Linked DNA regions of Arabidopsis thaliana. The protein of the gene in region 1 interacts with the protein of each later gene in a pairwise test. Each region holds a gene or a part of one and is shown in the gene's direction. Other genes may lie near its edges.

The links.
Region 2: the proteins of AT4G11100 (region 1) and EIF2 BETA interact in a two-hybrid assay, tested with the Arabidopsis thaliana proteins (one large-scale study listed by BioGRID).
Region 3: the proteins of AT4G11100 (region 1) and AT3G58380 interact in a two-hybrid assay, tested with the Arabidopsis thaliana proteins (one large-scale study listed by BioGRID).
Region 4: the proteins of AT4G11100 (region 1) and GSTU1 interact in a two-hybrid assay, tested with the Arabidopsis thaliana proteins (one large-scale study listed by BioGRID).

What each region holds. Positions count from the first base shown.
Region 1 is NC_003075.7:6,766,489-6,771,813, forward strand, and holds AT4G11100 (gelsolin protein), read left to right. Parts: upstream 1-2,125; 5' UTR 2,126-2,211; exon of another isoform or gene 2,212-2,383; intron 2,384-2,517; 5' UTR 2,518-2,547; coding exon 2,548-3,100; intron 3,101-3,177; coding exon 3,178-3,488; 3' UTR 3,489-3,797; downstream 3,798-5,325.
Region 2 is NC_003076.8:7,093,749-7,100,118, reverse strand, and holds EIF2 BETA (eukaryotic translation initiation factor 2 beta subunit), read left to right. Parts: upstream 1-2,973; 5' UTR 2,974-3,107; exon of another isoform or gene 3,108-3,248; intron 3,249-3,449; 5' UTR 3,450-3,457; coding exon 3,458-3,496; intron 3,497-3,623; coding exon 3,624-3,738; intron 3,739-3,829; coding exon 3,830-3,885; intron 3,886-3,987; coding exon 3,988-4,042; intron 4,043-4,136; coding exon 4,137-4,231; intron 4,232-4,321; coding exon 4,322-4,467; intron 4,468-4,584; coding exon 4,585-4,727; intron 4,728-4,818; coding exon 4,819-4,904; intron 4,905-5,053; coding exon 5,054-5,125; 3' UTR 5,126-5,470; downstream 5,471-6,370. Other genes in the region: TSL (Protein kinase superfamily protein), read right to left, coding at 185-229, 339-446, 644-694, 965-1,168, 1,308-1,397, 1,655-1,906; AIP2 (RING/U-box superfamily protein), read left to right, coding at 5,809-5,976, 6,249-6,370. UniProt on the Arabidopsis thaliana protein: Component of the eIF2 complex that functions in the early steps of protein synthesis by forming a ternary complex with GTP and initiator tRNA.
Region 3 is NC_003074.8:21,596,617-21,602,262, reverse strand, and holds AT3G58380 (TRAF-like family protein), read left to right. Parts: upstream 1-2,654; 5' UTR 2,655-2,821; intron 2,822-3,048; 5' UTR 3,049-3,067; coding exon 3,068-3,174; intron 3,175-3,250; coding exon 3,251-3,411; intron 3,412-3,507; coding exon 3,508-3,749; intron 3,750-3,884; coding exon 3,885-4,298; 3' UTR 4,299-4,464; downstream 4,465-5,646. Other genes in the region: AT3G58390 (Eukaryotic release factor 1 (eRF1) family protein), read left to right, coding at 1,046-2,233; AT3G58370 (TRAF-like family protein), read left to right, coding at 5,147-5,256, 5,353-5,513.
Region 4 is NC_003071.7:12,630,451-12,635,478, reverse strand, and holds GSTU1 (glutathione S-transferase TAU 1), read left to right. Parts: upstream 1-2,940; 5' UTR 2,941-3,118; coding exon 3,119-3,439; intron 3,440-3,532; coding exon 3,533-3,886; 3' UTR 3,887-4,138; downstream 4,139-5,028. Other genes in the region: AT2G29510 (hypothetical protein (DUF3527)), read right to left, coding at 1-248; AT2G29500 (HSP20-like chaperones superfamily protein), read left to right, coding at 1,739-2,200; AT2G29485 (uncharacterized protein), read right to left, coding at 4,505-4,572, 4,748-4,889; GSTU2 (glutathione S-transferase tau 2), read left to right, coding at 4,247-4,567, 4,741-5,028. UniProt on the Arabidopsis thaliana protein: May be involved in the conjugation of reduced glutathione to a wide number of exogenous and endogenous hydrophobic electrophiles and have a detoxification role against certain herbicides.

The sequences.
Region 1 (5,325 bases):
ACAAAAGTTTAGTTTAATTTACCTTTTTTTGCATAAGTAACTATATCTAAGTCAACCAATAAAAAATATACTATAGAATATTATTGGTCAAAAAATATTAAATACATTTAACTTTTATATTGAAAGTTGAAAGCATCATTTAAAATCGGAAAAAACATTCTCTAAATTATCATTTTTAATGATATGAAACCGTCATCAATTGTGTCAATATCAATAAAAACGATCTCTTCAGTAGAGATGAAAAAAAATTGTATCGCATATGTCACAACTAATCTAATCGTTTATATTATTTAAAGTTTTAATTTCTAAACTCATAATTTTTACCAATTGTTTCAAAATTTTCACATCTGCAATTTTAACTGCAAAAGTCTCTATATTTTCTACGGTCAAATTCCTTACACCAAAATTTTCTACAACCAAAATTGATATAGTTAGAAATAACACTTGTTACCAATCGGTCCTAACACTTTCAGATTATAGATATTGCGGTTAATTAGATAAAAAAGATTCAAAAATATATTTGATTTCTAAGGACAAACTAAAAAAATTTAGGAGCTTTAGAAAAATTATGTTTGATTTCCAATTATTCTACGTGGTTTTAGTAAAAGATGTGTTTACTATAAAAACCTTGATTGTAATTGTTTATAACTCATTACTAAAAGTTGTGACTGCAGAAATTACGAAACTAAACTACTACAAAAAAATGTGGAGAAATGGGTTAAAAAAAACAAGGAAAAAAATTCAATGTTAAATCAACTGAAATTTTTTTCATTTAATTATTCAGCTAATTTTAGGGAAGTTATCATATCACTATATATATATATATATATAAATAATACAAACAAACGATGCGTAGAAGAAAAAAAACTGTTGTCCGGTTCACTGTCCAGATCGGGTTTAAAAACATTGATTTTCATATTATATTCCGAATTTTGTTTTGCCAAAAATCCAATTACTTAAATTTCAGGTCAATTTATGTTAATTTTTTAACATAACCCGATCCAATTCAAATTGAAACAAATTTATATTTCTCTTTTAATAGTATAGGAATTTGCACAAATGTTATGTAAAAAACGGAAAATTGGTTTTTTCATATCTTTAGTTTGAACTATGCTGCATTTATACACGTATTATACCACAGTTGATTTAACCTAAACTTCAATTTGATATTTAAACTTTCATTTTTATACGAAAACATACATTAATGTTACAATGTTAGAATACCTTTAATTTCTGTTGTTAACCTGAATGTTAGGGCTGGGCAAAATATTCGTTCGATCCGCTTTGATTCGGTATATGATTTGGTTTGATTCGAAAAATCCGAATATCCGTAAGATTTTGGACCAAAGCAAATAGGAAAATGTAGTATTCGTAAAAACCGAATCAAATAACAAATTTTAAAAAAAAAAAACCGAATATCCGCTTCGATCCGTATCTTTTTATATATATATTAGAAAATATAGTTATATCTATATATATATCATAATAGTTTGTGTATTGTTGCTATTTTACGTTTTTATGTTAAAATGTTTGTTTGATCATTTTTCTCATGTTATGTTTTGATCAACGACATCAAAAACTATCGGGTTTTAGTTTTCGGAATTAGTTTGATAACATTTTGTAGACTGGTGGTACCAACAAGTATTTAGTTTTTATTTTGAAAGCATGTTAAATAAAAACTTTGAATATCTGATATAGTTATATAGTATATAGATTTTTTTTAATATTTAAATATATCAAAGCGGATATCCGCAAATATCACAAAAAATTCTGGATATTCGAAATTCCGGATATCCGGAAATTTTCGAAGCAAAGCAAAGCAAATCACAAAATCAAGTATTCGTTTAAAACGAATCGAATAACAAATATCACAATTTTTCCGGATATCCGTTTCGTACCCAGACCTACTGAATGCCATATATAAAACGGTAAAAACAGAAAATTAAAGTTCTAGTAAAAAAAACATCGCATCAGTTACAAGGTTTGGATTAAATTAAAAAAAGGTTTGGGTTAAATTAGCTTAAGAATGAACAATTTATTAATTATTTTTTTGGTCACATGGAATAAACAATTAATTAATTTGAATAATATTACTTAAATACATACAAACATTATCTGTCATCTTCGATTACGTTATCATTAACCAACGTTTAGGAGGACTTTGCTTCTTCGTCTTCTTCTCTCTTTAGGTTCTTCAAGTTCGCAATCCTGGTAAGATTTTCTCGAGAAAATTCCATTTCTTTCTATCTGATTCTGTTTACATTGTTGAATGCTTGAAAGAATCTGAGTTTTAACCACACTCTCTCTTCCCTGTTACTCACCATTTTCTCTCTGAATCCTCCGAAACCCATTTCGATTTCCACAATCTGAGCTCATAAATCTGGTTTAATTCTCATCTTCGTTGCATTTCAGTCATAAAGAGAACATAAAGCTTGGATATTTAGGGTTTTTGCAGAATTTTTGATTAAGCTTATGAGTTTGGTAATAATCTGTAGAAATTGGTTGATGTTGTTTCAGGTTTGGGTTTAGGACAAATCAGAGAAGAAGATGATGTTTGGTTTAGAGAAAACGATGACTTTGGAGCATGAAATTCTGAAGGAGAATCATGAGACTCTGTTGAAAGATTATGAGAGTCTTCAGGAGAGGATTAAGCATGCTGAGGAAGCTTATGAGGCTATTAAGTTGCATCATGAGAACAAAGCTAAGGAGCTTGAAGTGAGTAACAAACGCTTGCTTGAGGAATGTATGAAAGAGAGAAGGGAGAAGGCTAAGGTTAGGAAGACTTTTGAGGAGATGAAGAAGACAATGGAGAGTGAGAGAACTGCTATTGTTGATGAGTTGAAGTCGAAGAATCAGGAGCTTTTGTTGGGGAAGAAGAAAGAGGAAGAAGAGTTAGTGAAGATGGAGAATAAGTATGTTGAGTTAGCTGAGAAGTTTGATGTTGTTGAAAAGGAATGTGCTTACTTGAAGTCACTCTATGATGCGGAAGTAGTAGCTTCGGTTACTCAAAGTGCTGTAATCTCAGGGGTTGGAGAGACTGATAATCTTATTGGTCAAGGAGAGAACGAGGCTAATCAGAATGTGAACAATGCTGTGACAGGTATACATAGACATCTCTGTACCCAAGTGTTGTTTAGTTTACAATGACATTTCTTTTGAATCTATCTTTGTGTGCAGATGCGATAATGATAAGTGATGATGAAAATGATAATAATCCACCTATTGAGAGTAACATAAGCTCTCATCGGTCTGGTGATAGAAACCAAGAAGAAGAAGGCAGGAACAGAGGAAACTCAGCGACTGAGAACCGAGCTTCGGGAGAAACCTTTACTCCGGTATCTGCTAATCATCCACCGCCTTTTTCTCCTTCATCGTCATCTTCATCATCATCATCTTCAGACGGCGCTGAGATTGTGCTTAAGCTGCCTCGTAATTGGCCTGAATGGGCAATCCCGAAAGGTCCCGGGAAGGATTCCAACAAGCCTTAGAACATTTCAGATGCAACAGAGAGCCAAAAGAAGTAAATTTGAAGCTGCACTCTTAAGTTAAGCTAGTTATGGAAATCTTCTTACATATTGCTTTCTGTTTTTGTCAGGAGTTTATTTAACAATCTCTGGAACTACAACAAACTATTCTATCTACTATCAAATCAATTATTCATTCATGAGTATAATAATAGCTGAAACTTTCTGTGTTACAACAATTTCACCATAACTAAAATTGCATTTGCATTTGAATACTGCAAACGCAAATTGGCTTTGTATACGCATCTTGTTTATATATGGATTAGTTTTTTCTACATAATTAATGAAAGCTTTTGTAAACTAACTCTTGAGTACTAACTAATAAGAAAGTTCCGTGGCAAAATAATTTCCGAATCATCGGATAATCATCCATTTACGAGGTTAAGTTCCGGGAACTGCTGGTGTTAAGGTTCTGGAAGATCTCCGGAAGATTGGCATTAGTGAGTTTGATTCTCTTGCTGATCTGTTGTTTGCCATGCCATGAATATGTGCAACAGCTCTTCTCTGTGTAGTGTTCATCACACATGCTTCAAACTAAGCTTATGCAGCTCCTTCTCGACTAGCTTGTCGCTTGAGTTGTCTATGCCGCGGTATAGAGGTTTAAAGTCGTCATAAACCTGAATCTGACCCTTGAAATCAGCATTAGACAGTCCTTAAACTTTTAGAGCCAGCAAATATGAAAGACAATCCTGAAAAATGGATAATCATAAGACCACAAAAGTCTTTTGAAACCATTTAAGATCAGGAGCCAGTACACTATCCGTCTATCAGAATCTGGCAATAAATATTATCAGAAGCTTATTGATTATGAAGTTAATACATCTTAAATAGAATCAGTTAAGCGTTTTTTGTAAATCTAAATCACATGTGAAATTTCTTTATGTCACGTTTTCATTTGTGTAAAACAATATCTTTTGATTTATTAAGCAAATAATTTGCAGCTAAAGCTCTCAAGATTCAAATAAATTGAAATGTAAGTAGTGTAAGTAGTGATTTCTTATAGAAATAGTTGAAATCTAAAAGTATTAGGACACTGATGTAAGTATTGTTAAACTAAAGAGATCTATCAGGAAATCAAATCACTATAGTTTTTTTTTTTTTTTTAAATTCCTTGAGTTTATCAAACAAAAAAATGTAAATGTCCCTAGCAAGTACTGTAGGTTCATTTTTTTTGTTTCAAAAGAGTATGTTATTTCTTAAAAATCGCCAAAGATAGATAAGATTCGAAATTTGCATAAATGTGGCAATAAATATTATCAGAATCTTTTTATTGAATAATGAAGTTAATACACCTTAAATAGAGAATTAAGCGTTATTTAGATCTAAAACCACATGTGAAATTTCTTTATGTCACGTTTTTGTTTGTGTAAAACGATCTCTTTGAGTTAATTTGCAACTGAAAGCTCTCAGCATTTTACATTAATTGCAATATAAATAGTGATTTCTCATAGAATTAGTTCAAATCTTAAACTATTAGGACAGTTACGTAAACATTGTTAAACTAAAGGGACCAATATGGAAACACAAATCACTGTAGTTAATTTTTATTATTATCTTGAGTTTATCGTCTATCGTGTTCGAATTCTCTGTCGCTTACTTAAACACAGTCAAATTCATTTTCTGCCTTAGAAAAGATTTTTATCGAAAATCGACGTTTTTGAAAAAACTCAAATTATCGTCGTTTTGTTCTCAGATTTCTTCTGCTCTCTTCTTCTTCTCCTTCTTCTTCGTTCCACCGCCTCTGTTGCTTTATCTTCTTCTTCCTTCCTTCGATTGTTGATTACGTCGGTGGATCTTTGTT
Region 2 (6,370 bases), on another chromosome or scaffold:
TTGATTTAACTTTCTCGGGATAGAACTACCATGCTTCTTATGGAGAAAAATGTTTAACTCTAAGATTCTCCCAAAATCATTGAGAATATTAAAAGTAACCATGCCATAGTAGGTGCAAAATTTTATAAAAGAACATAAAAATTCTCAATAATCTATTAAGACACGGAAACAAAAGTTTGCGTACCTTTTGCTTCCCTTGTTGTTCCTGATCTTTCAGATCTTTTACCTCCTGCATATATCATTACTAGGATTATAAGCAGAGCAGGGGAATGGGAATAGATAAAAATGGTAATAGCATAGGCACAAATAGCTAAATCTGAAAGGCATTCACACAATACATTCTCAAGATTCCTGACAAGGTGGTGATACTCAGAAGAATCTTGTCGAGATTTACGCAATTCCTCCTCCAGCATAGCGATTTTTGCACGCAAAGATTTTAAGTCTTCCTGATTTATAAACAAGGAACAAAATAGTGAATAAAGAAAGATATAATTGTACAGTTTCATTGTTGTAGGATAATCATATATAATAATCCCGTTCACTTATTCTAACCAACTTAGAACATGCAGCTTAGTCCTAGACGATGAGACACAAACATATTCTCCAATATTACAGAGTAAAAGACATTATAGGAGAAACTTACATCCTGGAGAGAGCATTCACCATTCCTGAGCTGTCCATCAGGCCTAAAATCCTGGAGAATAAAATGCAGAAAATATTCATTGATAAACTGCGTCTGGTCATCAACATCAATGCAAACAGCAAAAAAAAAGGTAGGAAAAGGCATAGTAATTCTTTCTTGTCCTGCTTAATTTTTTCATACAGGCCAATTAAAAGGTTTTACTTCAGGAAAACATATAATTTGTGTCCACGTTTGTCAACGAAATTAAGTCTCATATATGTAAATCCTCGATGATGAGAAGAGTGGTTCCATGTAAGGTCCGATGAGGTAAACAATACTAACCTTTTGATCAGAGGCATCCAGTTGACTGGCAGCTGATACTGGTGCAACCACAAACTGAGATTTTGTCACATCGTTATTAGTTTTAGAACCACGCCCTCTACCTGTTGACGAAGCCCGACCTCGACCTTGTTTCTTCTTACTTACATCAAGGCCTGTCTTGGACTCAGCATCATTTTTCCTTCCATCATATGCTGCCTCTTGTGGCTTCAATTCAACAATATTCTTCATTATAAGTTGATGAGAAATACTAGGAGACAAAACTTACATCATACACCAATATTTGATATAAAAAACATCAACCCGATAAGAGACTAAAAGAAAACTCTTTATGAAAAATCAATACCTCAACATGATCAACAACACTGAAGTTGTTAGATTCTTGAACTTTCTGGCGCTTTTTTGTATTTGCTCGGATTAGGAAATCTCCAGTATTCTGAGACAGTAACAAGGAGAATGAGATCTAGCTAAAAAAGAGACTGTATTTCTTGTTCAAGAAAGAAATATAGATGCATCTGCAATGCCAGGATATGTAGCCAGCATTGCATACAACTTTGATCAATCTTTAGGCACAAACTGATCAATACAAGGAGGATAGGGACATCAACAATTCAATTAGCAACGACCCTTAGACTCACAAGAATCATAGCATAGACATAAACAAAAGAATTTGAAACAAACATCGGAAGCTACCTCGTCGTCTGAATCACTGATAGAGGTTTCGGACAATCCCGGCGGTGTGGAAGTGACGACTTTGACAGCGGCAGAAGCAGATGACCAGAGAGAGACCTGCTGCTGCTGCTGTTGTTGTTGTTGTGGTGGCTTGGCCGAGGAAGGGGTCTTACCAGTCAAGCGGGCCTCAAGCTTGGCGATTTTGTCGGGTAAAGAGTGATCCGACTGATTAGAAGAATTCGAGGAGAAATGCAAAACCATGTCATCCGACATTGCCAAACACTTGCGGACACTTCACTCCCTAATTTCTACACAGATCAGAGTAAATTCGAGAAATTAGGGTTTTTTAACGGAGAATTACGGAATTGGAAGCTAGAATCTGGATGTCGAAGAGAAACCCATCAACAAATTTTCATGCTTTTATGCAAATCCACGTGGAGGAAAGTGAATAAAACGTACAGAGAAAGATAGACAGAGAAAGAGAAGGAGGAATAAGGTTTTTGTTTCGGTGAAAAAGAAAAATCGAGGAACCCTAAGGAATTAGGAGGGAAAGAGAGGTCAACACAAAGTTCTCTTTAGCACTCACTCTGATACATTTTTTGGTTTATCAGATTTTAGCCTAATTATATAATCTGAGGTTTGAGACAAGTTTGAGTTATGGGTGTGTTAATTTGGGAAATTTCCATTTTTTCTTTCTTTTTTTTTCTCCATTTGGTATCATGGATTAGGGTTGACTATAAGTAGGGTTTTCTTTGATCTAAGGCCAGACTCGTGGTTTAAACGCTAAAATCCGATTATGACTATATGAATTTGCGGAAGTAGGCGGTTGCCGTCTCAAGCGTTATTAAACAATTTGAACGATTAATTTAGCGGTTGAAAATTAATGCATTTGCGGAAATTTTGTTACTGAATATCTAACAAACTAAAATACTTAATATATTAAATAATAAAATAATATAATTTAGTAATTTATAGTAAAATAAGATATGCTAGACTATTAATTTTGACACTAAATATATTCTGATTTCTTTCTTTACTAGTTTCATTTATATTTAATAACATTTTTATATAATTTACTATTCACAGAATTTAATAAGAAATAAATCTTAATTTGAAAAAAAAAAAATTGATTTGATAAAATTTCAATTGATTAATTAATTAAGACAAATAAAATAATAAATGAGAATCTCAGTGTCAATTAATAGATAAAATTAAAATGTAACATGCGTTAAGAAAAAGAAAAAAGTAAAAATGTAATATTAAGGTTTAGGCAAAATGAAATATTTACAGAGACCTTTTACTATTGAATTAAAAAAAAAAGTTACAATTCGAGATGGACTATTTTTTTGGAGGAGCAAGGGTTAACTCTTATCTCAGATTAAAACAACCCCTGCGCCGCTTACTCTCTCTCAGATTCCTCCCGAAGCAACCTCGTTTACTCTCTACGCCAATTTCAGCGCTTAGACATCCCTTTGTGAGTTTTCTTCGATTCCTTTTCGAATTCTTCTGGTCGATCTCAGAGTAAATCGTGTTTTTGGAAGAATTGAGTATAAACAGATTGGTAAACCTAGCTGTTCCGTTTCTGATTTGAAGCCTTGTCGTACATTTTATTTGGGTATTTTTTTTATTGGGAATCGAAAAGTTGTTCTGAATCTCGTTATGGTTTTGTTGCGTTCCGAATTACCTCTCTGATTTAGAAACCCTAATTTCGGACTTGCCTATGCTCATCGTTGTTACAGATTATGTTGATTCTAATATGTATATGTTTGGTTTCTGAGGTCTTATTATCATTGTGTGTTTTCGTTTTGTATCTCAGTTGCAATCATGGCTGATGAAATCAATGAGATAAGGGAAGAGCAAGAAGTAAGTTTGTTTTTTTTCTCTGTTTCTTAATGATAGGGCTCAAGTTAGCCATATAGATTTTTTTTTTTGTTTTGTTTGATGAACTCATGATTGAATGGTTTTTATGTTTTGGTTCATCCTTTTACAGCAGCTCGCACCCTTTGATCCTTCCAAGAAGAAAAAGAAGAAGAAGGTTGTGATTCAGGAACCTGTCGAGGACTTAGCAGAGTCTTCACAGACTGAGAAATCTGATTCATTGCCTGGTATGTATGATGAAGAGTCAATGTGATGTGAAACATTTTTTTTGTTTCAATGGTCTTTTGTGTTACTTTGTCTAATTCCTTGTTTTTGCAGTTAATGATGGTCTTGAGAGTTCATTTACTGGAATGAAGAAAAAGAAGAAGAAGCCAGTGAGTATTGTTTTACGTTTTGTGCCTAGTATTTTTTTTATGTCATTAAACTTGTGTGTTTGATGATTCTGTGACTCACATTTGTTCTTGTTTGATATTTAGACTGAATCAAGCTTATTGAACAACGAAAGTGTTGATGCTGGGGAAGATTTGGATGGTACTTTTAATATCCTTTTTTTTTGTTTGCTAATATACCTTTTCTCTTGGCGGGGTTTTTATCCTGTTTGAATCTTACTGAGAATATATTGCAGAGATTGCTAATGACGAGCAAGAGGGGGAAGAAGGAATAGTTCTACAGCAACGTTACCCCTGGGAGGGAAGTGAGAGGGATTACATATATGACGAGGTGACTATATTTTCGATGATTTCTTTTGTTTTAATCCTTCATAAATATCTTGCTCCCTTGTTTTTTTGCTGACGGGAGTTATATATGCAGCTTCTTGGTAGAGTCTTTAACATTCTCCGTGAAAATAATCCGGAGCTTGCTGGAGATAGGCGTCGTACAGTTATGAGGCCTCCTCAAGTTCTTCGTGAGGGGACAAAGAAGACTGTCTTTGTCAACTTCATGGACCTTTGCAAGACGTATGAGCTAACTCTTTATCTTCCTCTTCAAACTTTTTCTGTGTAACCATAAGTAATATTACCATTTAATTTTGATGACTTTTCGATGACATGTCTTATCTGCATATAAAAAATCAGGATGCATCGTCAACCAGATCATGTTATGCAATACTTGCTTGCTGAGTTGGGTACTAGTGGTTCGCTTGATGGGCAGCAAAGGTTGGTTGTTAAGGGAAGGTTTGCACCTAAGAATTTTGAAGGAATTTTGCGGCGATATATCAGTAAGTAACTTTCTTCTTAGTCTCAAAATTTAAGTTGCCATAAAAGTATATCAGTTTGGAGTTGTTAACCTCTTGTTTTATTATTTCTCAGCTGACTACGTCATTTGCCTTGGTTGCAAGAGCCCAGACACCATTCTCTCCAAGGAGAACCGTCTCTTCTTTCTGAGATGTGAAAAGGTATAAGTTAATCTAATTAGTCCTGATCTTGATATGCATTCCTTTGTTTCTGTTTTACAGTTTTACTTTCTGCGCAACAAAGTAATAAAGTATTTTGTGTGTTTGAATTTGCTAATGTGATTAACGAGTGGGCTACATGGTTTTTGCAGTGTGGATCTCAACGATCTGTGGCTCCGATCAAAACAGGGTTTGTTGCTCGTGTTAGTCGCAGGAAGACTTGAGAAATTAGAAGGTGAAGTGACCTTGGTATGGAGTTTGGAGCTATTCTACTGCTTCTGTATGAGTTTATGAGTTGAAGAAATACTTGTCTTGTTTTTTTTATTTTGTTTTGGAATATGATTATGACTTGACTTTTAAAATGGGATAGGATCAAAACCTTTTACTCTGTCAGGTTCATGTGGTCACCTTGAAGGTTGATTTAGTAAATCCATGGACTTCTTTTTTGTGTTAAGATTATTCTTAGTTCAAAATTAATAGACTAATGATATTAACGTCCACAGGCATTGCGTTCAACATCTCAAATTAAAGCGTGGAAGGCTCAGAAAGTCCAATATACACTATGTTTATCTACAGTTACAATCATACTACAAAAAACAAATAATGTATACGGTTTGGTCTAATATAGCCGCATACGATTTAGTATTTACCAACAAAAAATTGGTCTCAAACCAAACCGAACAATTGGTAATTAACAATTGTTCTTTTGGTCTTGAACCGAACCAAACCGAACTGAACTATATTAACCGACCGACTTCGTCCTTTCCTCCTGATCAAGAAAACTCGTCTCCTACAAAAATCCCAGAAGACAAGAGATTGGTTCTTCTTTTGCATCATTCTTACAAAATCCCCAAAATCATTCGAAACCCCTGAGTATTCTCCTTAACTCTAAGAAATAAATTTCTGAATGGATGCATCGTCTTCACCGTCTCCTTCCGAGGAAAGCTTGAAGCTTGAGCTTGATGATCTTCAGAAACAGCTGAACAAAAAGCTGAGATTCGAAGCATCCGTTTGTTCTATTCATAATCTTCTCCGTGATCACTACTCTTCTTCCTCTCCTTCTCTCCGCAAACAGGTTGGTTTTTATTCTTAGATTTTCGGATCAATAGATTCAAAATTATTCGGAATTGTTAGGGTTTATGCCTGCCTTGACGTTTACTCATTGCTTATGTCTGATGATGGGTTTAACTTTTGAGGATTGAATCAGGAATCAAATATCTTTCTTTTATTGTTTTTCTATTTCAATTGTGGAGAAAGTTCATGTTCATGTCAAAAATTTCATTTAATCCGATCTGTTTTTGTTTAGTTACCCTCTGTGACATAGTATTGATTTGATTGCCATTGCAGTTCTATATAGTTGTATCTCGTGTCGCTACGGTTCTTAAGACAAGATATACAGCTACTGGATTTTGGGTTGCTGGACTGAGTCTTTTCGAAGAGGCTGAGCGACTTGTCTCTGATGCTTCTGA
Region 3 (5,646 bases), on another chromosome or scaffold:
GAGGAAGGATTTGAGAAAAGGAGATGGAGTGAAAGTGAAGGATCAAGTGAGAAACAGAGTAGTACTCTATTTTCGATTGTGCTAAACCATTATGTTTCTCCTCCATTTTTCTCTTTTTATGTCTATTTTTATATTAACCTTATCAAGATAATAAGTAGCCGCTTCTAATCTCATACAAACTACCGAAAAAGATTTAGGAAATGATGATGATTAATATCCATTCAAATTGTGTCATATCTTCCAATGATTTCGAAAGATATCCTAAGAACAACAAGAAGTGAGCAAAATAGTAAGAACAACATGTGAGCAGCACGTGATTTTGATTAATTTACGTCAAAAATTAAGAAAAGGAAATTAGACCATCTTTATCAATCGACTCTTACATAGAATTATAAACAATTTTGATATATACAAAATAATGTTTAAATATTAAAAAGGCTAGAGAGAATGTATCTAAAAACTTTTAGCTAAGAGCCATTTTTCATCTCTTAAGTATACTTTTTTTTAATTTTTTTATTCTTATTTTGTTTAATATAATATTTTAATAGTTCTTATGATATTGTTAACAACCTATGGATAAGGATGCTCTAATGAAATAAAGAAACTATGTAGAATTAGATATTGCACTAACTTGATTTTATTGATTCACAAAGTATAATATTTATACAAGAGAGACATCGTATAAGATATACTCTAGTCCCTAAAATATAGGACATAATCAGAAGATATATAGGAATAATCCTAATGAGATTAATCTCTATCCCCAATACTTAACAATGTAGAAAAGGAAAATACGTTTCCTAGTTTTCCTAGACGACTTATGTAAGCTTTATAGCTAGCTATAAATATGTATATCTCAGGAGATCAAGTCTATTTCTTCAGATCAATAACAGCTTAATTTAAGCAAAAGTTTACTTTAAGTTTTTATTTTTTCTTCTCTTCTTGTCAGAGCGATTGATTGTTCTTCATTCCCTACCACAATTTCCGATCGACAGTTTATTCTTCAGATTCTGTTAGTGGAAAATACCTTCAAAAATCCTGAAAGATGAAAATCATTCGCAAGGATTTTGTTCGTAATGGACCCGGAAGCGTTAAGATGATGGCAGAGGACTCGGATGATCTCTGGTATACTTATAACCTGATTGGCCCGGAGGATAGTGTAATGGCTATCACTTTCAGAAAAGTTGGTGGTGAAGGAAGAGACTCGACTCCATCGCTAAGTCGAATAGAAAGCAAATACCTTGGAAAGAAAAGATCTTTCACCCGGACTGAACGTGTTAAACTTAAGCTAGAAGTACAAGTTGAGGAGGTGGACTATGACAAAGACGGCGATGTTATGCGCATACGCGGGAAGAATATCATGGAGAACGAGCATGTAAGGATTGGTGCATTCCATACTTTGGAGATTGAGCTTAAACGACCTTTTTTATTGAGAAAGGAAAATTGGGACTCACTGGCTCTTGATACACTCAAGCAGGCCTCAGATCTTGCAGCTAGTGCTGATTTAGCTGTAGTTCTAATGCAAGAAGGACTGGCACAAATCTTCCTTGCCGGCAAAAGTGTAAAAAGTTGCGGTGCACGAATAAAAACATCGATTCCTTGGAAGCATGGAGCTGGAACGGCTGGTTACGAGTCAGTTTTGAAGAAATTCTTTGAGAATGTTGTGCAAGCCTTTCTGAAACACGTTGACTTCAGTGTGGTTCGATGCGCAGTGATTGCAAGTCCCGGGTTTACAAAAGATCAGTTTCATCGCCACCTATTGTTGGAAGCAGAGAGAAGACAGTTGAGACCTATTCTTGAGAACAAATCACGTTTCATTCTGGTGCACACAAACTCAGGATATAAACATAGCCTAAGCGAGGTTTTGCATGACCCTAACGTGATGAATATGATCAAAGATACTAAAGCAGCAAAAGAGGTCAAAGCTCTCAACGATTTCTTCACCATGTTTTCGAATGATCCAAATAGAGCATGTTATGGACCAAAACATGTGGAAGTTGCTCATGAACGAATGGCAATCCAAACACTTCTCATTATAGATGGGCTATTTAGGAACTCTGACGTGAAAACAAGGAAGAAGTATGTGGATTTTGTGGAGTCGGTGAAAGATTCAGGAGGAGAGGTTTTTATATTTTCGTCAATGCATGCTTCAGGGGAACAACTAGCACAGCATACTGGAATTGCAGCTATTCTTAGGTTCCCTTTACCAGATCTAGAAGACATTGAGATGTAACATAGTATTTCTAAGAAAATCTTTTAGGTTCTTTTATTCACTTCTGCTCTAATATTTAGTTACTTGTTTTGTAAGGGTATGACTTGAACAAATTGTTGCAAGATTATATATATAAAAGCGTCAGTTATCTTCATTAAATTAAACAAATATTTCCTAAGTTTACTGTAAAAATCTGTATCCTTTACTAAAAAAAAAAAAATCAAAAAAGAAATTGGCAACCCCTTTTGAAAACGTTTGGCATCCTGTTCCTCTCTTTAACACAAAAGGACCTAAAAAGCCTTGGAAGGTCTATTCACCAAGAAAAAAGGAAACAGAATCTCAAGTCCAAGTTTCTTTCCTTATTGGAAAAGTCAATTCCAAAGAAGGGATTTTAGTTTCTTTCCTTATTGGAATTGGATATCTCCCTTTTTTTGGTTTAGAGGATTAATGTTATAAAAATGGTTGAATCTCGTTTTTGAACTATTCGATCCAAGTAATTTGGTTTTTGGATTGGGTTCGTAGCTCTGACAAACTTGGACTAACTTGGACAAAGTGGGTACGAGTTCTGACTTCTGAGTCGCTGTTTCTCTTTCAACTCGCCTCTCAAGGGTAATCGCTTTATTCCCTTAATCTTGCATGTCTTAGAATATTTCTTTTCCTCAACTACGGTCAACTAGTTTTAAGTAGTTTAAACTGCTGGCTGAAACTTCATATGTCTTTGAGTTCATAGTAAAATCTTTGTTAAACTAAGAAAGAATTTGTTGGAGAGTGTGTGTGTTTGATACTTTGATTGGTAGGTACATGAATTTGGTTTAATTCTCTTCATGCTGTTGTAGTTTCATTGCGAGTAATATAATGGAGAAGGAAGTTGACAAGAAATTTGTCTGGGTGATAAAGGATCTCAACGTTTTTTATCCTAAGCAGAGTCATTCTGATCCCTTTCTGATTGCTGGCAGTAGATGGTAAAAACTGAACCAACTTTTGTTCCAAACGTACTTTTCATCTAATTATGTTCTGGTGATTTGATTTTTTTTGTAGGCGTCTTCTAGCCTTACCAAAGGGAACTAACTATGAGTTCTTCTATCAATACATGGGGGTTGCTGATTCTTGTCAATCACTGACTTCTTCATGGAGAAGACATGTAAAACTTCGCTTAACTATAGTAAATGGAATTTCTCATAAACGCTCCATTGTGACAGGTTATTCTTCTATTTATACTTTTTGCAAAATGAGTGACTGATTTAGATTAGTTTTAATGTGATATTGATGTTTTAATACTTGTGGTGATGCTACAGATTCAGACCTATACTTTGATGAGAATCTTCCCGCTTGTAGTTATCCAACAGTACCACCCCCTTTCAACCTTCTTGCAAGAGATGCAGGGTTTCTGATTTGCCGAGAAATAACAATTGTTATTGAGGTTGTTTCTCTTGAAGTTATTGGCACATCAAATAATGATGGTGCCAACTCTATTGATTTACTCAAACAGACTCAACAAATCATTGATGTCAATGGGTTTCAAGTTCTTCCTTCACAGGTAAGAAACTTAAGATTAATGCGAGTATACTTCTTTGTGGTTTTCTGTATTTAAATACTCTGATGTACAAAATGTTTCTGTATGTATTCAGGGCTTCTAAAGCTTTTATGATATTTTTTTCTTCTTCTTTCACAGGTAGAATCTGTGAAGCGTATATTTGAAATATACCCAAACATTGCATCAGAAGTCCCTTCAATGAAACCATGTCTGAAGACATTATACATGAATGTACTCCTCGGAATAATTGAAACGCTGTGCCAACTGCCTGCGGAGCTCTCTGATACTGATCTGGATGAAGCATCCATTGCAGTTTTATTCGTGTCACAAGGTGGCTTTAAAGTGGATTGGTTGGAGAAGAAGCTCAAGGAAGTAAAGGAAAAGAAGAAGAATGTGGATAATGGTAAGGCTCGGCTGCAACAAATAGAGGAAGATTTGCAGAAACTCAATCAGAAACGCTTAGACCTGAAAGATATTCTAGACAAGGAGAAAGCAAATGACTTGACCGCTAATGTTCCTCTCTCGTTCAATGATGTTCTTAAGATGTTTTAGACAAGGCTTTGAAAAACTGCCCTCTGATAAGGCAGAGACATTTTGTGGAGATCCTCTATAGGTTGATGTCTTGAGTTCTTTCTTAGGCATTTTGTGCTAAAGCATTGTGCGCTTGAAGTGTTTTTTTTTTAAATTACTTTAACCAACATTAAATTTAGAAAAGTTTAAGATGTGTTTTCTAGAAGAAATCAATAAATCAAAGCAGAACATAGAAGAAGTAGTTAATCCCTTGAAAATGAAATATATGCAATCCCTTGAATATAGGAGCTAAACTGTATCAAGTAACTACCCTTGATCATATCCAAACTAAAGTGTGTTTAAATTATACAATCTAAATTTTTGAATATGGAAATTTTGGAAACTGAGTAACAAGAGAGACAGAGTATCCCTGGTAAATCACCATGGTTGGGGAAACTATTGATTATTTATAGTATGCATTAAATTATATACAACATTAGTTACTCTAGTTTTCAAGTCATGTTTCCTAAGCCATATAAAAGTGATTCACTTTCCTAATAAAATTTGATTTGCATTCATGTAAGCGTTCAGAGTCTGAAACCCTTTTTTCCCTTAGTCTCCGTTGACTGTTGTCTTAGAACAACCCTTTTCATTGTCTCTTCTCATTAAGGTAGAGTTTAGTTTTTTTTAAAGCGTTTGGTTCGACCTTGACGTCTTTATGTGGAAGCTAAGATTACTAGCGTTGAGGATATCATGTCAGTTAGAGTCCATAGTGGAATTTTAGGTTTTGGTTTTTATTTTGTTACTCGAGATGTGTTTCCTTTGGTATATAACATGAATTTGGGTGTGTGGCATTGTTTTAAAGGTAGTTTGGTTGTGAGGAGTCTTTAATGGAGAGTGAAGAAGTTGATAACAAGTTCACTTGGGTGATTAAGAATTTCTCCACTTTGCAATATGACAAAATTTATTCTGATCCATTTGTGATTGGTGGCTGCAAATGGTACTTAAGAAACTAAAACTTTTTTTCTAACTGTATTAGTCCAATTTAGGTTTACGAGGACATCCACTTTTTTTTGCAACTGCTTTTTGTTTGCAGGCATCTTCTGGCCTATCCAAAGGGAAATAAATTTAATAATAGTTTGTCTCTGTATCTGGTGGTTGATGATGCTAGAGCATTGCCTTGTGGATGGAGAAGATATGCACAATTCTCCTTAACTATAATAAATCAACTTACGGACAAACTCTCCCAACGAGGAGATAATTCTTTATTTCTAAACTTTATATTATAAAGGATATTTTATGATTCTACAACTTGTCATGGACACTCATGTGGCTTTGTGCTGCTGCAAGATTCTTGTTATGCATTGTGCAATTTTATTGCTTGTTTGGA
Region 4 (5,028 bases), on another chromosome or scaffold:
TCTCTTTCTCCTGAAGCAGTTCTACCTATCCTTGACTTCAAACGATTCTCCAAGCGTTTAGGACATACATCTTCAACTTTTTTCGTGATCTCGCGGTGGAAATCGGAGTAAGATAACCCGCGTTTATCGTCTCTAAACTTATCCGGTGTAAATGCCTTTGAGCTTTCCTTAGTTAATACCTTCTTCTCAGCAGCTACAAATGGTGGTCTATCACAAGAACCTTTCTTCAACTCCAAACGACACTCCATCTGTTTCCAAAGTTCCAAACGTTTCACTCAAATGACTCCTCAGTCTCCCATTAAACTGCAGAAGCTTGAAACGCTCAACATTTTTTTTCACTGTAGAAACAAAAAAAATGGTAAGTCATAACAAATACCAAAAAAAAAAAAAAGTACATCTTTCTTATCCACACACAATGTAATAGAATTACAAAACGAATCTTCATAGACCTTATAGATCCTTAAGAATCCGTAAGATCTGATTAGAAGAATCTCTACAAGATTAAAGCTGAGGAAAAAAAGTAAAACTAAAGTATCAAAAGAACCAAAACAAAATCACATTCTTCTCAAACTTTCTTAATTTACCAAAGAAGTACTAAAAAACAAGATTAGTAACAGGAAAGGCCTAAAGCGTACACACACAAAGCAGGAATCGATGAATTCACATAACACTAACACCAGGACTAACACGAGAGTGTTATTGGCAGTGTCAGAGAGTGAAAAAGCTTGGAAAAAAATCGAACCGTACCTGAACGGAATCAGTTCGTAACACAGAGACTGAAGCAGATTAGAGTTGAATCAGATCAGGAGAGGAAAAAAGAAGAAGGAAGAACAGATCTCAAATCGTCCGTGAAATCCGGCAGAAATAGCGCCGACGAAGCTGACCCTATCAGCTACAGAGGTAGAGAGTAAGAGAAGAGAGAGATTGAGCTTTGTTAATTGTGTGTAGATTAGAGAGTGACAAGTAGAGAGAGATAGAGAGTTGTTGAAGCGAGTGTGTTTTGTTCGCCGAGTCTTTCGTCGAAGTTGTTTTTTTTTTTTCCCAAAAAAAAAAAACATATCTTTTTGTGGCCGACGGATTTAGTAAAAAAAACAGTATAATTTTTATAAAGATGGGCCCAATAGTAGAATCGTACGCTCAAGATTCCGTAATGAACGCGGGAAGTTACGTCATTGTGACCCTACTTACTTAGTGGAGCTCAATGTCCAATATACACCGTTGGATTTGTTTAATCCTCCTTTAGATGGGCCCAGTTTTTAGTAATATTCTATTCAATTCAGCACGTTATACAATTGCTTTTAAAGCCCATGGCCCATAATACTCAGACAGCCTTAAATGCTTCAGATTAACAAAGAAAATGTTTTAGATTTTATGGATAGTGTGATTAGAGTCCAATTATTTTGGAATTTAATTCGGTTAACCAGTCGAACCGGATAATCTGTAGAAATCCAGTTTTTTTTTTGGAAGACTACATATTTGTCTAAAGCCCATGAAGGCCCATTAAACCCAACGAACACAAACAATCTTCAAAATGCTCCTAGAATTTTCTGGATTCACCTGATTTTTCTCATAGACGTCCTCTAGATGTTTCTGTATTCCCCATAACAACTCGAGAAGCTCGAGAAATTTCGGTTAGTACCTTTAAATAGCTTCAAAAATCCTTCGTGTGTTCTATCAGAAATCGAAAAATCAAAGTTCTCAAGAAGATATCAACAAAAAAAAAAGTAAATTCTTTAAAATGTCGATGATTCCAAGTTTCTTCAACAACAACAGACGAAGCAACATCTTTGATCCATTCTCTCTTGACGTATGGGATCCATTCAAGGAACTAACATCATCATCACTTTCTCGTGAGAACTCAGCGATCGTGAACGCACGTGTGGACTGGAGAGAGACGCCTGAGGCCCACGTGTTTAAAGCTGACTTGCCTGGATTGAAGAAGGAGGAAGTTAAAGTTGAGATTGAGGAGGATAGTGTTTTGAAGATCAGTGGAGAGAGACACGTGGAGAAAGAAGATAAGAATGACACGTGGCACCGTGTGGAGAGATCGAGTGGACAGTTTACGAGGAGGTTTAGGTTGCCGGAGAATGTGAAGATGGATCAGGTTAAGGCTGCGATGGAGAATGGTGTGTTGACTGTTACGGTGCCTAAGGCTGAGACTAAGAAGGCTGATGTTAAGTCTATTCAGATCTCTGGTTGAGTAATGGGTTCGAGTTTTATCATCGGAGTTGCTTGTGTTTTTGTCATGGTTATGGTTCATGTTTTACTTGAGTGTGTGAGTACTCTATCTAAATTATAATAATCTCCGATTGAGCTATGAATTATGATGTATCGGATACATTTGATCCTAATGAAGTATGGAATAAATAATAATTATTAACCTTTGTCTAAATTCAAAAGAAGTTTAACCGACGAGATGATTTCGCTTAGAGTTCGATTTCGGTTTAACTAAACCAAATCAACCGATACCGTGAATCAAGACGGAATCAAACCCAAAAACTGAAAAGGTTCACATTATATAAATGTTATATTTTGATTTAGATTATTACATCATTTCTTTCAAAATGATTAACATTTTGTTTGATAACTGAATATTTCTTCTGTTTTACAATGTCATTCATTTCAAATGTTTGGCAGACAATGAATTGGCCAAAAAATAGACTCTTCAAAACAAAAAAAGTTGTGTGTTTTACAAATACAGTCGATACATTAATCTCTCAGTTTTAAACTTTTCAACATATGAATCTTAAAATATAAATTGTAGAACGTAATCATTTGGAGATTTGTTATTTCTTGGTCGGCTAATTGACTGGAGATTAGAAACACTAAGTGTTGGTCAAATATCTTAAAACACTAAGACGAATGACGTTGGCAATGACGTGCATACCTTAAAATATAAATCAGTCCTTTTCTGGTGTGATCTTCAAGATATCCTTGGATACAAAGACAAAGAGAAAGCAAAATGGTCCTTTTATTTATTTGTTTATTTCACCACCCATAACTTCATTTGTGTATAGAATATAGTAAACTCAAGTAATCAAGCAAGTAAACGAAACATAAAAAAGAAAAGTAGTGCAAGAAACAGAGGAGTTAGATACCAAAAAGTGAGAGATATCGAATGGCGGAGAAAGAAGAGAGTGTGAAGCTTCTAGGGTTTTGGGCAAGCCCTTTTAGTCGTCGAGTCGAGATGGCTCTCAAACTCAAAGGCGTGCCATACGAATACTTGGAAGAAGATTTGCCCAACAAGACCCCTTTGCTTCTGGAGCTAAACCCGCTTCACAAGAAAGTTCCGGTTCTTGTCCACAATGACAAAATATTACTCGAGTCACATCTGATTCTCGAATACATCGATCAGACGTGGAAGAACAGTCCAATTCTTCCTCAAGATCCTTACGAGAAGGCCATGGCTCGATTTTGGGCCAAGTTCATCGATGACCAGGTATACTAATATTGATTTGCAGATTAATTAGTTGATTCTATGCAGAACAATATTATATTATTCGCTTGTTTATATATTGTTCTTTACTTGCAGATCCTAACACTAGGGTTTAGGTCCCTTGTAAAAGCAGAGAAAGGAAGAGAGGTTGCTATTGAAGAGACTCGGGAACTGCTTATGTTTCTTGAGAAAGAAGTCACTGGAAAAGATTTCTTCGGTGGCAAGACAATCGGATTCTTGGACATGATCGCAGGAAGTATGATCCCATTTTGTCTAGCTAGACTTTGGAAAGGTATTGGAATTGATATGATTCCAGAGGAGAAGTTTCCGGAATTAAATAGATGGATCAAGAATTTGGAAGAAGTTGAGGCAGTGAGGGGATGTATTCCTCCAAGAGAGAAACAAATTGAGCGCATGACCAAAATTGCAGAGACAATTAAGTCTGCCTAAATTAAAGATACTTCTTGCCTACGAAAATATTTGATTTATATGCTTGCATCGTTTTTTATTTATATTTTTATTTTTTAAAGTTTTTCGAAAAATAGAATGACCTAATATTTAAGTAAAAAGATCAAAAACCTATTTGAAAGTTACAGCAATCAAATAACGTGGTGTGTCTGGAGATTGTAAAAGCCAAGACTAGAAGGAAATAAGAATAAAATAACCAAAGTGACCTCAGCAGTGACTTGGTTACCTTACTGATGTCTTTTTTTTTTTTTTTATCTTCAAGATAAGCTTGAGAGTTGAGACTACAAAAAAAAGCACAATATTGTTTTTAAAGTGACAGAGAGAGTCAGAGAGAGAGATCTAATGGCGAAGAAAGAAGAGAGTGTGAAGCTTCTAGGGTTTTGGATAAGCCCTTTTAGTCGTAGAGTCGAGATGGCTCTCAAACTTAAAGGCGTACCATACGAGTACTTGGAAGAAGACTTACCCAAAAAGAGCACTTTACTTCTTGAACTAAATCCGGTTCACAAGAAGGTTCCGGTTCTTGTTCACAATGATAAATTATTATCCGAGTCACATGTGATCCTCGAATACATCGACCAAACTTGGAATAACAATCCAATTCTACCTCACGATCCCTACGAGAAGGCCATGGTTCGGTTCTGGGCCAAGTTCGTTGATGAGCAGGTACTCTAGTCTAACTAATTAAATTGATTTATAATATTGATTGCAAAATAAATGAGAAACACTTGAGAGTTATTAGAAGTTCATTACATTTCAAGCATTTATATCAGGATTATTTGTAGGATAAAGTAATTTTCTAAGTACTTTTTTTTATAGATTGGTATAATAACTTGCAGATCCTACCAGTTGGCTTCATGCCCCTAGTAAAAGCAGAGAAGGGAATAGATGTTGCTATTGAGGAGATTCGAGAAATGCTTATGTTTCTTGAGAAGGAAGTCACTGGAAAAGATTTCTTTGGTGGCAAGACGATCGGATTCTTGGACATGGTTGCGGGAAGTATGATCCCGTTTTGTCTTGCTCGGGCTTGGGAATGTTTGGGGATTGATATGACTCCAGAGGATACGTTTCCAGAATTAAACAGATGGATCAAGAACTTGAATGAAGTTGAGATCGTGAGGGAATGT